Pelodiscus sinensis: one gene and its partners. The protein of the gene in region 1 interacts with the protein of each later gene in a biochemical or structural test. Links are inferred from orthologs where the notes say so. Each region holds a gene or a part of one and is shown in the gene's direction. Other genes may lie near its edges.

The links. The genes of interacting proteins can lie anywhere in the genome.
Region 2: the proteins of UBC (region 1) and UBE2V1 form a complex in vitro, tested with the Homo sapiens proteins (3 studies listed by BioGRID, with this or other methods). The link is inferred for Pelodiscus sinensis from reciprocal best matches to the Homo sapiens genes UBC and UBE2V1.
Region 3: the proteins of UBC (region 1) and KLHL7 form a complex in vitro, tested with the Homo sapiens proteins (2 studies listed by BioGRID, with this or other methods). The link is inferred for Pelodiscus sinensis from reciprocal best matches to the Homo sapiens genes UBC and KLHL7.

Annotation. Positions count from the first base shown.
Region 1 is NC_134731.1:3,492,026-3,495,625, forward strand, and holds UBC (polyubiquitin-C), read left to right. Parts: upstream 1-904; 5' UTR 905-1,063; intron 1,064-1,775; 5' UTR 1,776-1,781; coding exon 1,782-3,155; 3' UTR 3,156-3,298; downstream 3,299-3,600.
Region 2 is NC_134728.1:19,381,186-19,385,005, forward strand, and holds the start of UBE2V1 (ubiquitin-conjugating enzyme E2 variant 1), read left to right. Parts: upstream 1-1,492; 5' UTR 1,493-1,626; coding exon 1,627-1,648; intron 1,649-3,820. UniProt on the Homo sapiens protein: Has no ubiquitin ligase activity on its own. The UBE2V1-UBE2N heterodimer catalyzes the synthesis of non-canonical poly-ubiquitin chains that are linked through Lys-63.
Region 3 is NC_134712.1:199,305,996-199,309,815, reverse strand, and holds the start of KLHL7 (kelch-like protein 7), read left to right. Parts: upstream 1-1,448; 5' UTR 1,449-1,867; coding exon 1,868-1,987; intron 1,988-3,820. UniProt on the Homo sapiens protein: Substrate-specific adapter of a BCR (BTB-CUL3-RBX1) E3 ubiquitin ligase complex. The BCR(KLHL7) complex acts by mediating ubiquitination and subsequent degradation of substrate proteins. Probably mediates 'Lys-48'-linked ubiquitination.

The DNA of each region.
Region 1 (3,600 bases):
ACGGCACGGGCCATTGTGAGAGCCGCGTGCGTCCGGTCGAAGCGCTGCGACGGGTCCGTCGGCTCATCCCGCCAACTCCAGGGACACAGGCACAGTTGGCAAAACTACCCTCTCGCGGGAGGCCGCCTCGCTTGCGACAGTCTTGCGGCCCCTGAGAGGACGAGCCGCTCCTGCCGCCTGCTCACGCGCCTCGGTTGCCCACGGCCCGTCGGGTGGCGGCGCCCGGTTCAAATGGCGCCAGGCACAGCCCCCCGCGAAGCCGGCCCTGCAAGAGGCTGGATGCTCTTCGCCCTGGCACGAATGGCCGCTGGTCCAGGCAGGAGGGGGGCTTCCCCAACCTGGCTGCTGGGGGCACTGTAGCCATCCCTCCCTCCCAGAGCCGTTGGCCTCCCTTGTGGAGTCCCCCTCCCCCCGCATGAGACGGTTCCCGCCTGAGAGACCAGGCCCCTCCCCCACTGCGGCAGCGCCGCTCCCGAAATCTGCTCCACCGAGTCGCGCCCCTTAGCAACAAGGCTTACCTCACCCCGCGCCAATCAGCGGCCAGCACCGCTCGCCCCTTCCCCCCCGGCTCTTCCAGAGCTTTCTCCCTAGACTCCTCTGGGAGCCAATCAACGACCAGTCTCGCCCCCTCCGCACCCAATCAGTGTCGATCAGTGCCAGAACCCCGCCTACCGTCCTCAGGGGTTGCGAAGCTTCCAGAGCGGTCTGGCAGCCTTCTCACCGTGGCAAAAATCCCTCCGCGCCTCGGAGACTTCGGTTATTCGGAGGGAGAGCGGTGGATTTGGCCGAGAAGGGGACAGGGCGTAGCTTTGAGACGTCCAAAAAGGTTCCGGGAGGAGGAAGGACCCCTATTTCCCCTGGATGCAGGCCCACCGCTGGGAACTATTTTCTGCAGCGCACTGATACTAGCGGGGCGTGACTGCGTGCGTCGACTGCGTCACCCGTCCCATAAATAGGAGCGGGCGGAGACACCCTGTAGCAGTGCGGTTTCGTAGTAGCGGGGTAAAGTCAGCCTTTGTGAAGCAAATTTTTTCGGTTTTCTAGACGAGCGTCCGGGCTAACGGTAGGCGCTGGGGGGCACCTCGGCAGGATGTGAGCGGGAGGGCGATGAGGACAGTGGCGCGGAGAGCGGCCTGCGCGCGCGGCGGGGTATTAACTCGGCCCTGCTCTGTGTGGGGAAGGCGGTTGGGCGCGAGGGGCCCCGGCCTAAGATGGCGGGGGCTGCGCGGCGCCATTCGCTCGCCTTCCCGGAAGAGAAGGGCGCGAGTCACGGGCGCGCATTGTGACTGGGCGGGAAACGGGGTGGCCCCCACATGCCGTAAGCGGCGCCCGTCGCGCAGAGGGGGATGGGGCCGAGCCGCCGTGGGGGTGCGGGGCGGCCGGGACGGTAAAAGTCCCAGAGAGTGGGGGTGGGAAGATGGCCGCGCGGTTTTTTTTCTTCCCCTCCCCCATTATAAGCCTCGCGCTTAGTTCCCTGGTGGGGGCGGGGGAGGGAGCATTTGGGTCCAGGCTCGATCTTGCTCAGCTCAGACTCCCTTTGTGGGCAGGAGATGTTGTGCTTTAAGCCAGCACCATCTTGGTGTTGAGACTCCAGGAAACAGGACTGGGAGATTTGTGTCTCCAAAATATTTCCAAGACTTTCTTTACTGGCATATCTTGAGTCACTTTTTGTACTGCAGTGTTAGTGGGAAGCTTTTGGGGTCTGGGTTTTTGTCCTGTTTTGTAGCAAGTTGATCATTATGGGAAGCTGAACATTTTTCTCGTTCTTTGTACAGTTCACCATGCAGATCTTTGTGAAGACCCTGACTGGCAAGACTATCACCCTAGAGGTGGAGCCCAGTGACACCATTGAGAATGTGAAAGCCAAGATCCAGGACAAAGAAGGCATCCCCCCTGACCAGCAGAGGCTGATCTTTGCTGGCAAGCAGCTGGAAGATGGCCGCACCCTGTCTGACTACAACATCCAGAAGGAGTCCACCCTCCATCTTGTGCTGCGTCTGAGAGGTGGTATGCAGATCTTTGTGAAGACCCTGACTGGCAAGACCATCACCCTAGAGGTGGAGCCCAGTGACACCATTGAGAACGTGAAAGCCAAGATCCAGGACAAAGAAGGCATCCCCCCTGACCAGCAGAGACTGATCTTTGCTGGCAAGCAGCTGGAAGATGGCCGCACCCTGTCTGACTACAACATCCAGAAGGAGTCCACCCTCCATCTTGTGCTGCGTCTGAGAGGTGGTATGCAGATCTTTGTGAAGACCCTGACTGGCAAGACCATCACCCTGGAGGTTGAACCCAGTGACACCATTGAGAACGTGAAAGCCAAGATCCAGGACAAAGAAGGCATCCCTCCTGACCAGCAGAGGCTGATCTTTGCCGGCAAGCAGCTGGAAGATGGCCGCACCCTGTCTGACTACAACATCCAGAAGGAGTCCACCCTCCATCTTGTGCTGCGTCTGAGAGGTGGTATGCAGATCTTTGTGAAGACCCTGACTGGCAAGACCATCACCCTAGAGGTGGAGCCCAGTGACACCATTGAGAACGTGAAAGCCAAGATCCAGGACAAAGAAGGCATCCCCCCTGACCAGCAGAGACTGATCTTTGCTGGCAAGCAGCTGGAAGATGGCCGCACCCTGTCTGACTACAACATCCAGAAGGAGTCCACCCTCCATCTTGTGCTGCGTCTGAGAGGTGGTATGCAGATCTTTGTGAAGACCCTGACTGGCAAGACCATCACCCTAGAGGTTGAACCCAGTGACACCATTGAGAACGTGAAAGCCAAGATCCAGGACAAAGAAGGCATCCCTCCTGACCAGCAGAGGCTGATCTTTGCCGGCAAGCAGCTGGAAGATGGCCGCACCCTGTCTGACTACAACATCCAGAAGGAGTCCACCCTCCATCTTGTGCTGCGTCTGAGAGGTGGTATGCAGATCTTTGTGAAGACCCTGACTGGCAAGACCATCACCCTAGAGGTTGAACCCAGTGACACTATTGAGAATGTGAAAGCCAAGATCCAGGACAAAGAAGGCATCCCCCCTGACCAGCAGAGGCTGATCTTTGCTGGCAAGCAGCTGGAGGATGGCCGCACCCTGTCTGACTACAACATCCAGAAGGAGTCCACCCTCCATCTTGTGCTGCGTCTGAGAGGTGGCTGTTAAGTTATTGTGGCTCTTCCTTTACAAGATTGCCAATAGCATTTGTTTTGCACTGTAGCCCGTCAATGTCTTAATATTGTAAGTTAACTGCAAGTTTCAGTAAATGCTGAACAGTGTATGCTAATAAAGGTTTTTGTTGCACATTATATGGTCTTTGTGAAACTATGCAGTACTTACCCAATTACCAGTTTTAATCTGATTGTGTTCCATGGAGTGGTATGTGGAGGCTTAGGTACTAATTCTGGTCTTGAGTTTACTTTTTAGATCAGAATATACAAAGTAATGAAATCCTCAACTTAATTATAATGGGGAAAATTCATTGATATACTAATTCCAATACATTTGAGACAGGAAAGGAGGTTCTGGTCCCCTTTTCATAGTAGGCATTCTCAGTTATGCCTCTCTGCTTAGTAAAACTTAAAGCCTACTCTAAAGAAAGGAACATGCC
Region 2 (3,820 bases), on another chromosome or scaffold:
GGCTGGCCCGGCTCTCTTCCCTCTGGCTGCTGGGGGGTTGGGCAAGGCCATGCGACTGGCCTGGCTCTCTTCCTCCTGCCGTGAGGCGGGAGGGTATGCAGCTGCCCCGGTTCTCTCCCTCCGGCTGTGAAGGGGGAGGGCACATGGTTCACAGCTCTCCCTCCCCGTAAGGGTGGAGTGCTCGTGGCTCTGGGGGAGCAGCACGATTTAAAACTCCAGCAGCTGCCCGCAACATGGTGGCTGCCAGAGGTACAGCCAGCCCCAGTCACAACTCAGGGCCAGGGTGTCCCACAGTCTGGGCCCCACTCCTGCAGCAGGCCGTTCTGCTGGCCCCCTCACCCGCTGCTGGAGCACCATAATTTTCCTCCTTCCCCCACCCCACACAAGCCTAGCAGCAGGAGCAGCTTATCTTCAGTGCTGCTGCTGCCTAGGAGCCATAGGTTGCTGATCCCTGCCGGGTTAGCAGTGGGGAGGAGGGAGGAAAGTAGGAGGCGGGGTGGTGGATGATGTCATGTCACTCAGTCATCCCACAGCAAAATATATATATATATATATATATATATATATATATAAATAAAAGATGAGCTTTTGTGAGTAAAACCTGCTTCATCAGATACTGTGGTGGTGGCTGGAGGTGGTAGGCCAGGGACCCTAGTGTGAGGGGGACTGTGGGTCCCAATTCAGGCAGATGAGGTTCTGGGAGATGACTCATCTGATGAAGTGGGTTTTACTCATAAAAGCTCATGATCATATTTATAGATTTTAATAGTCTCATAGCTATGGGCGAGTAGATTACACTAATTGTTGAGCCCTGCTCATAGCACCATCTAAACGTTTTGTTAGTCTTTAAAGTGCTACTAGACTATTTGTTGTTTTTTAAGTTTTTCCTGTTACTGATTAACTGAGCTACGCCTCTGAATCGTTAGTATCTGAGATGCCACAGGAGTACTTATTGCCTCTATCGATACAGGCTTTGTTCCCTTATGTATGGTAGCTGCACTATCCCCTGCTCACTGGGGTGCTGATGATGGAAACCATATATTTTGGGTTTATTACAATTTCAAGCCAGAGGCCTGCAGCACTCCTAGTTCCAATACCACTGCCTATAGATGCCAGTACAGATATTCCCTTCATCCCTGACAGATTGCTGTGGTGCACTTATCTCCCCTATAGAGTCCATGCTCTCTCTAGTCTGCTGCCTGCAGTAGGTATTAATATACCTATCTCATAGGGCTTGAAAGGGACCCTTATGGCAGGGCCAAGTACTATACCATCCCTGACCAATTTGCCCCAGATCCCTAAATGGCCTCCTCAAGGATTAAAGTCACAAGCCCGGCTTTAGCAGGCCAATGCTCAAACCACTGATCTCTCCCTCCCCTGTCTAACAACTTGTTCTGAAACTCACATACAGCACGCCCGACCGCGGGTCTAATTTCCCACCCACGATATCTGCCTCTAGAAATCTAGCTCCCACGGGTCAGCCCGCCCAGCTCACCGGTCCTTTCTTCCTGCGCCCGCCTGCACCGCCTCCCGTCAGCCCCCGGACTCGCTTACCGCCGCACTTCCCGCGTTACGGTGACGTGGGCGGGAGGAAGGCCGGGCTAGTCGGAGCGACAGCGGCGCAAGATGGCGGCCACCACGGGCTCGGGTGAGCGGGGCTCGGGTGGCCGAGGCCGGGCCGGGGAGGAGGGGCTCGCCGCCGGAGGCGGGGCAGCTGGTACCGGCGGACGCGGCGGTGACCGGCTTTGGCCCAGCGGGCTCCCGTGAACGGGGGCTCGCCGGCGGGGCGTGTCTGCTGGGGCGGCGGCGGCTTAGGGGCGCTAGGCCGGGAGCCCCAGTCCGGGCGTGTGAGGTTCCGAGCGAAGAGGCCCTGGGGGTGTCTGGGGACTGCAGGGGAAGGGTGACAGTGGGGTGCCGGCTGGAGATGGGGGTGCTGGGCTGGAGGGGGCTTCCTTGTGTGCTGGGTGCGGTGTCCATGGGCAGAAGGGCGTTCTGGGGGTGCTGGGCTGGAGGGGGCTTCCTTGTGTGCTGGGGTGCAGTATCCATGGGCAGAAGGGCGTTCTGGGGGTGCTGGGCTGGAGGGGGCTTCCTTGTGTGCTGGGTGCGGTGTCCATGGGCAGAAGGGCGTTCTGGGGATGCTTGGCTGGAGGGGGCTTCCTTGTGTGCTGGGGTGCAGTATCCATGGGCAGAAGGGCGTTCTGGGGGTGCTGGGCTGGAGGGGGCTTCCTTGTGTGCTGGGGTGCAGTATCCATGGGCAGAAGGGTGTTCTGGGGGTACTAGTTAGAGGGGGGCTGCCTTGTGTGCTGGGGTGCAGTATCCATGGGCAGAAGGGCGTTCTGGGGGTGCTGCCTTGTGTGTCAGGATGGGGCATTTTCGAGAACAGGGAGCATTCTGGATTCCATAACCTAGAGGAGGAATGCCATGTGTGCCAGGCTGGGTGTCTTTGCAGGGGATAAGGTTATGGGAGTACCAGGCTGAGAAATGGCAAGATGGTAGGTTGTCGGGAAAACCAGGCTGGAGGAGAATAAGGATGACTTGTTCCAAGTTGGGAGGATGTTCTTGACTGCTTCTCCTTTACCCTTAACCTGATTTCTTCTTCTCAAGCATTCAACCCTACTTTGTCTTTTATTCTTTCTGGCTATGTCTAGACTGGCCCCTTCTCTGGAAGAGGCATGCAAAGTAGGCAAGTCAAATAGGGAAATCCGCGGGGGATTTAAATATCCCCCACGGGATTTAAATAAACATGGCCGCCGCTTTTTTTCCGGCTTGGGGAAAAGCCGGAAAAGAGCGTCTAGACTGGCGCAATCCTCCGGAATAAAGCCCTTTTCCAGAGGATCTCTTATTCCTACTTGCAAGTAGGAATAAGTGATCCTCCGGAAAAGGGCTTTATTCCGGAGGATCGCGCCAGTCTAGACGCTCTTTTCCGGCTTTTCCCCAAGCCGGAAAAAAAGCAGCGGCCATGTTTATTTAAATCCCCTGCGGATTTCCCTATTTGACTTGCCTGCTTTGCATGCCTCTTCCGGAGAAGGGGCCAGTCTAGACGTAGCCTCTGAGTATATTCTTTCCAGATTAAAAGGGCTGTTGGAATAAACCTGAAGTTACTGAAGGTTGGTCGTAATTGGGCATTTGTATTGTCATCATAGTTATGAAAGTGAGGGGTGTAAAAAATCTGTGTACTTGAGAGACATAGCTATACAGGCAGTCCCCGGGTTACGTACAAGATAGGGACTGTAGGTTTGTTCTTAAGTTGAATCTGTATGTAAGTCGGAACTGGCGTCCAGATTCAGCCGCTGCTGAAACTGATCAGTTTCAACAGCGGCTGAATCTGGATGCCAGTTCTGGCTTACATACAGATTCAACTTAAGAACCCCAGGTGTCCCCAAGTCAGCTGCTGCTGAAACTGATCAGCAGCTGATTCCAGGAAGCCGGGGGCAGAGCAACTCTGCCTCGGGCTTCCTGTAGTCAGCCGCTGGTCAGTTTCAGCAGCGACTGACTTGGGGACGCCTGGGGCAGAGCAGCTGGGGTGCTGCCGGGTTGGTCCAGTAGCGCCGAGGAGCGGTGCTGCGGGACCAACCCAGCAGCGCCCCGGATGTTCTACCGTGGGCAGAAAAGCCTGGTCTGCTGGGAGGGAGGGGGCACTAGCTGAGCCCCCCCTCCAGCAGACCAGGGAGACGCGGAGCAAAGCTGCGGAGGAAGCCTGCAACGGGACAGCCCAGACGCGCCGCTGCTGTCCCACTGCGGGCGGCCTCCGAGGCTTTGCTCGCCGTCTCCCTGGTCTGACCAGCAGACCAGGGAGACGGGGAGCAGCTTTCCTCCCCCC
Region 3 (3,820 bases), on another chromosome or scaffold:
TTATATAAATCCATGGTACACTTACATCTTGAATACTGAGTGCAGATGTAGTCACCTCACCTCAAAAAGATGTCTTGAAATCGAAAAAAGTTCAGAAATGGGCAAAAATGATTAGGGATATGGAAAGGCTGCCATATGTGGACAGATTAATAATACTGGAACTTTTCAACTTGGAAAAGAGACAACCAAGGGGGCATATGATATAGGTCTATAAAATCACAACTGGTATGAAAAAAATTGAATGAAGTTATTTATTCCTTCCCATAATACAAGAACTAGGGGTCACCAAATGAAATTAATAGGTTGCAAATTTAAAACAAACAGAAGGAAGTACTCCACACAACACGCTGTCAACGTGTGGAACTCCATGCCAGAGGATGTTGTTAAGTCCAAAACTACAACAGGATTCAAAAAAGAGCTAGATAGATTCATGGAGGATAAGGCCATCAATGGCTATTAGCTAGGATGGGCAGGACTGTTATCCTTAGCCTTTTCAGAAGCTGGGAAACAGCGATATGGGTAGATCACTTGATGATTGTTTAGTCTGTTCATTCCCTGTGGGGCACCTGGCATTGGCCACTGTCAGAAGACAGAATACTGAGCTAGACAGACCTTTGGTCTAACACAGTCGGGCCGTTCTTATATTCTTATCTCGATTTGTCCTCCACTATGGTCACTATCACCCAAGTCAGCTGCTATTATGAGATTTTCACCACTTAGGACCAAAATATCAGAAGAATAGAGCTCATGTTCTTTTCTGGGTTTGATTTTGCTCTGAAACTAAAACTTTACAAACAGGTATTTGCATACCCTGATTAGTGTTTTTTGAGGCTAGATTAAAAAAAAGGGAGGAGAGCTAAGAAGGAGCTACCCTAGTTCTTAACCTTTGCAGGACAAACATGATTGAGACTACCATGTGGCTATTTCCCTATCTGCAGGGGTGCGGTGCCAAGATGCTCTGGGCTGGACTGGTGAGTGCCCAAGTAGTGACTTTTTCTTCTTCTTCCATAAAAGGCAATAGGATGTGGATTGTGGGAGCTGGGAACAAAAACCGTTATCAAAAACTAGTTTTTACCTCTCCCCGTAACACTGCACTGCCTCCGAAGCTCTGCAGCTGGCAGTAGCTCAGATAGCGCGGGCTTTGCAGAGCGACTTTCCCAGCCCGCAGCCTCATAGGCGAGCACACACCAGCTACATTACGACCGACCCTGCCTATAAGGGACCTCAAGACAGCAACAGTCCCGCCGGCCGTGCGCGTGCGCCCTCCTTTCGCTCGCCCCTGTTCATAAACCAATCACATGACCCGTTCCGCCTCCTGCTCCTTTGTTTGTTTTTCTCCGGAACGCCTGAAGGCGACGGGCGTTCCGGAGAAAAACAAACAAAGGAGGGGCGGGGCGAAGAAGACTAGAACGAGACACCGCGCTGTTCTATGACGTCATTGTGCGCCGGTCCGCTCGCCTTTGAGAATTATGTAGGATACTCCTCAGGAGCTCGCGTTCTACCTATGGAACGCTGGCAATAGATGTATCGCGCGCCCCCAGCCCCGGAGCGCTGCAGACGCGGCGGGCCCTAGGCTGCATTCCCAGGAGTCTGCGCTACGGGCTGCTTGTCCCCGCGGCTGCTTCTGGGGTTCGATCAGCCCTGCTGCTCCGGCTGCCGCGGCAGGTGGTTACCCAAGCGGCTCGCCCTGTGGGCTGCCTGGTTGCAGAAGCAGCAGGAAATTCTGCGACGGTGCAACCTCCTCGTCAGTCTGGGATCTTGGCTGGGGCCGTTGGGCTGTCTTATAATTTGCTTCCATTGGCTGCTGTGCATGGGCCTGTCTGGGTCCTGCAAGCCCTTGTTTTCTTAGTGGTGAGAGGAGGGGAGCATGGCAGCCTCTGCATCAGAAAAAAGCAACAAGAAGAAAACAGAGAAGAAACTTGCCGCCCGAGAAGAAGCTAAGCTGCTGGCGAGCTTTATGGGAGTCATGAATACCATGCGAAAACAGGTAGGGCAAGAGATACAGCTTGAAAGAGCAGAACGTTCTTTGTTCTTTCGCTGTTTGTGATGAAGTCTGCCCTAAAAGAACCAATGTCCAATGTCTAGTAGGAAACTTCACCACCCCTCAGTCTCAGTAAACTGATCTAACCTTAGGTTTCCTAGTAATTGTAGGTAGAACATGTCATCGTTAGTCCTCTGTTTTTTGATACACGTGTGGTCTTTCAGTGGCTTCACTGCTAGCTTTGAATATAACACATTAAGCTGTACTTAAGTAAGCTATCCAAGGTCTGAATTCTTGTTTCTGTTTTACAAGCACCAAGACTTTAACTTTCCCGAGGGTGCATATCCTATCAGATGTTGAACCGAGAAATCCTGCAAACCCACTTGTATTTCCTAGACTTTTATCTTTAATACACGAGGTATCTTCCTGCCTATATGTTGATTGCCAATACATCTTTCAGTGGTACTTTGTTAAACCACTATCTCCTCTTAATTAGTTTAGTAGGACATTCACCAATTCAGAGTTTGAGTCCAGCCAAAGTTAATTTCTCAACTAGGCTTTTGTAGTATCCTTTTATTAAATGAGTATGTTCATATAGAATAATCTAGAGATCTTGTGGCACTTTTTTAGGAAGGGATTTTGTCCATCCCTATTTAATCCATGTACATACTGGTTTTTGATAGGAAGATGTCACAAAAGATACACAAATAGTCTTAACACCCAGCATGCTTTGAGCATTATAAAAAATAATAAATAATTGCTAACATACGTATGTGGTGTGACATAGTAAGCATCCTCATGTATTGAAAGTTCTGTTATTGTTATGCGGTGTTGCTGATACTAAAACAGGAAGAGTTACTGTAGTGGGTCCACTTTCTTATTTGAGGTTTTCTTTGCAGTAAGCCAAAAAGTCAAATATGGATAGAGGGCTGAGTTATTTTGGTTGAAACTGTACTAACACAAACTTCTTTCAGAGACTGTTGAAATTGAAGTGGATATGCACAGTCAAAGTCTTTATGCCTGGTGTAGACGGAACAGGTGATGGGTATTTTTAACATGTATTCATCCACTGTGGAGAGGAAATACAACTCTTGCCCATTAAATCAGTTGAGATGATTCTGCTAGAACTCAGGTAGCAACTTTACAAATAAATTCACCAAAATGTTGTGTTTCGTGTGCAACATGGCTGCTTACTTCAGAAGCCCATGCTCATGTTTGTAGCCTGATCGATACTACTGAGTCTGTCTCTGTTCTTCTGAATTGTTGTATGCTGGCTCGAGCCTTGTCTTCAGGTTGATCAGCCTCCCAGGCCAATAACCTGATGGGCAGCCAGGTTGCCTGTCACTTGGTGAACACAGTTTCATTGTCCAATATCTTGACTCTAGAACTGGCTTTCTGATAAACTGTCAGAGTTCATGAAGTGCCACTACTGGGGAAAAAATTAACCTTTGCAAGTTTGGTGCAAGAGCATCCAGATAACTAAAACGATTGATTCCCTGATGCAAAGGAAGACCTATTTCTTTTTTCTGTGAGGAAGTTAATCAGAATCTATATAAAATGTAGGACAGGAAGAGACCTTGATAGGTCACCTAGTCCAGTTCCCTGTACTGCTTCAGGACTAAGTATTAGCTATATCAGCAGTTCCCAACCACCGGTCCGGGTACTGGTGGTGGGCCACCAACTTGCTGAGCAACACACTCTGCCAGGCCACGCCTCCAGCTGCTAATGAGCCCTTCCTGCTGGGGAACTCCATTCCCTATAAGTTGCACGCTTGCACATGTACTAAACATTCTTCTCCCACCCTCCCACAGTGAGTGGCATTGCAGGCTGTGTGCCGTG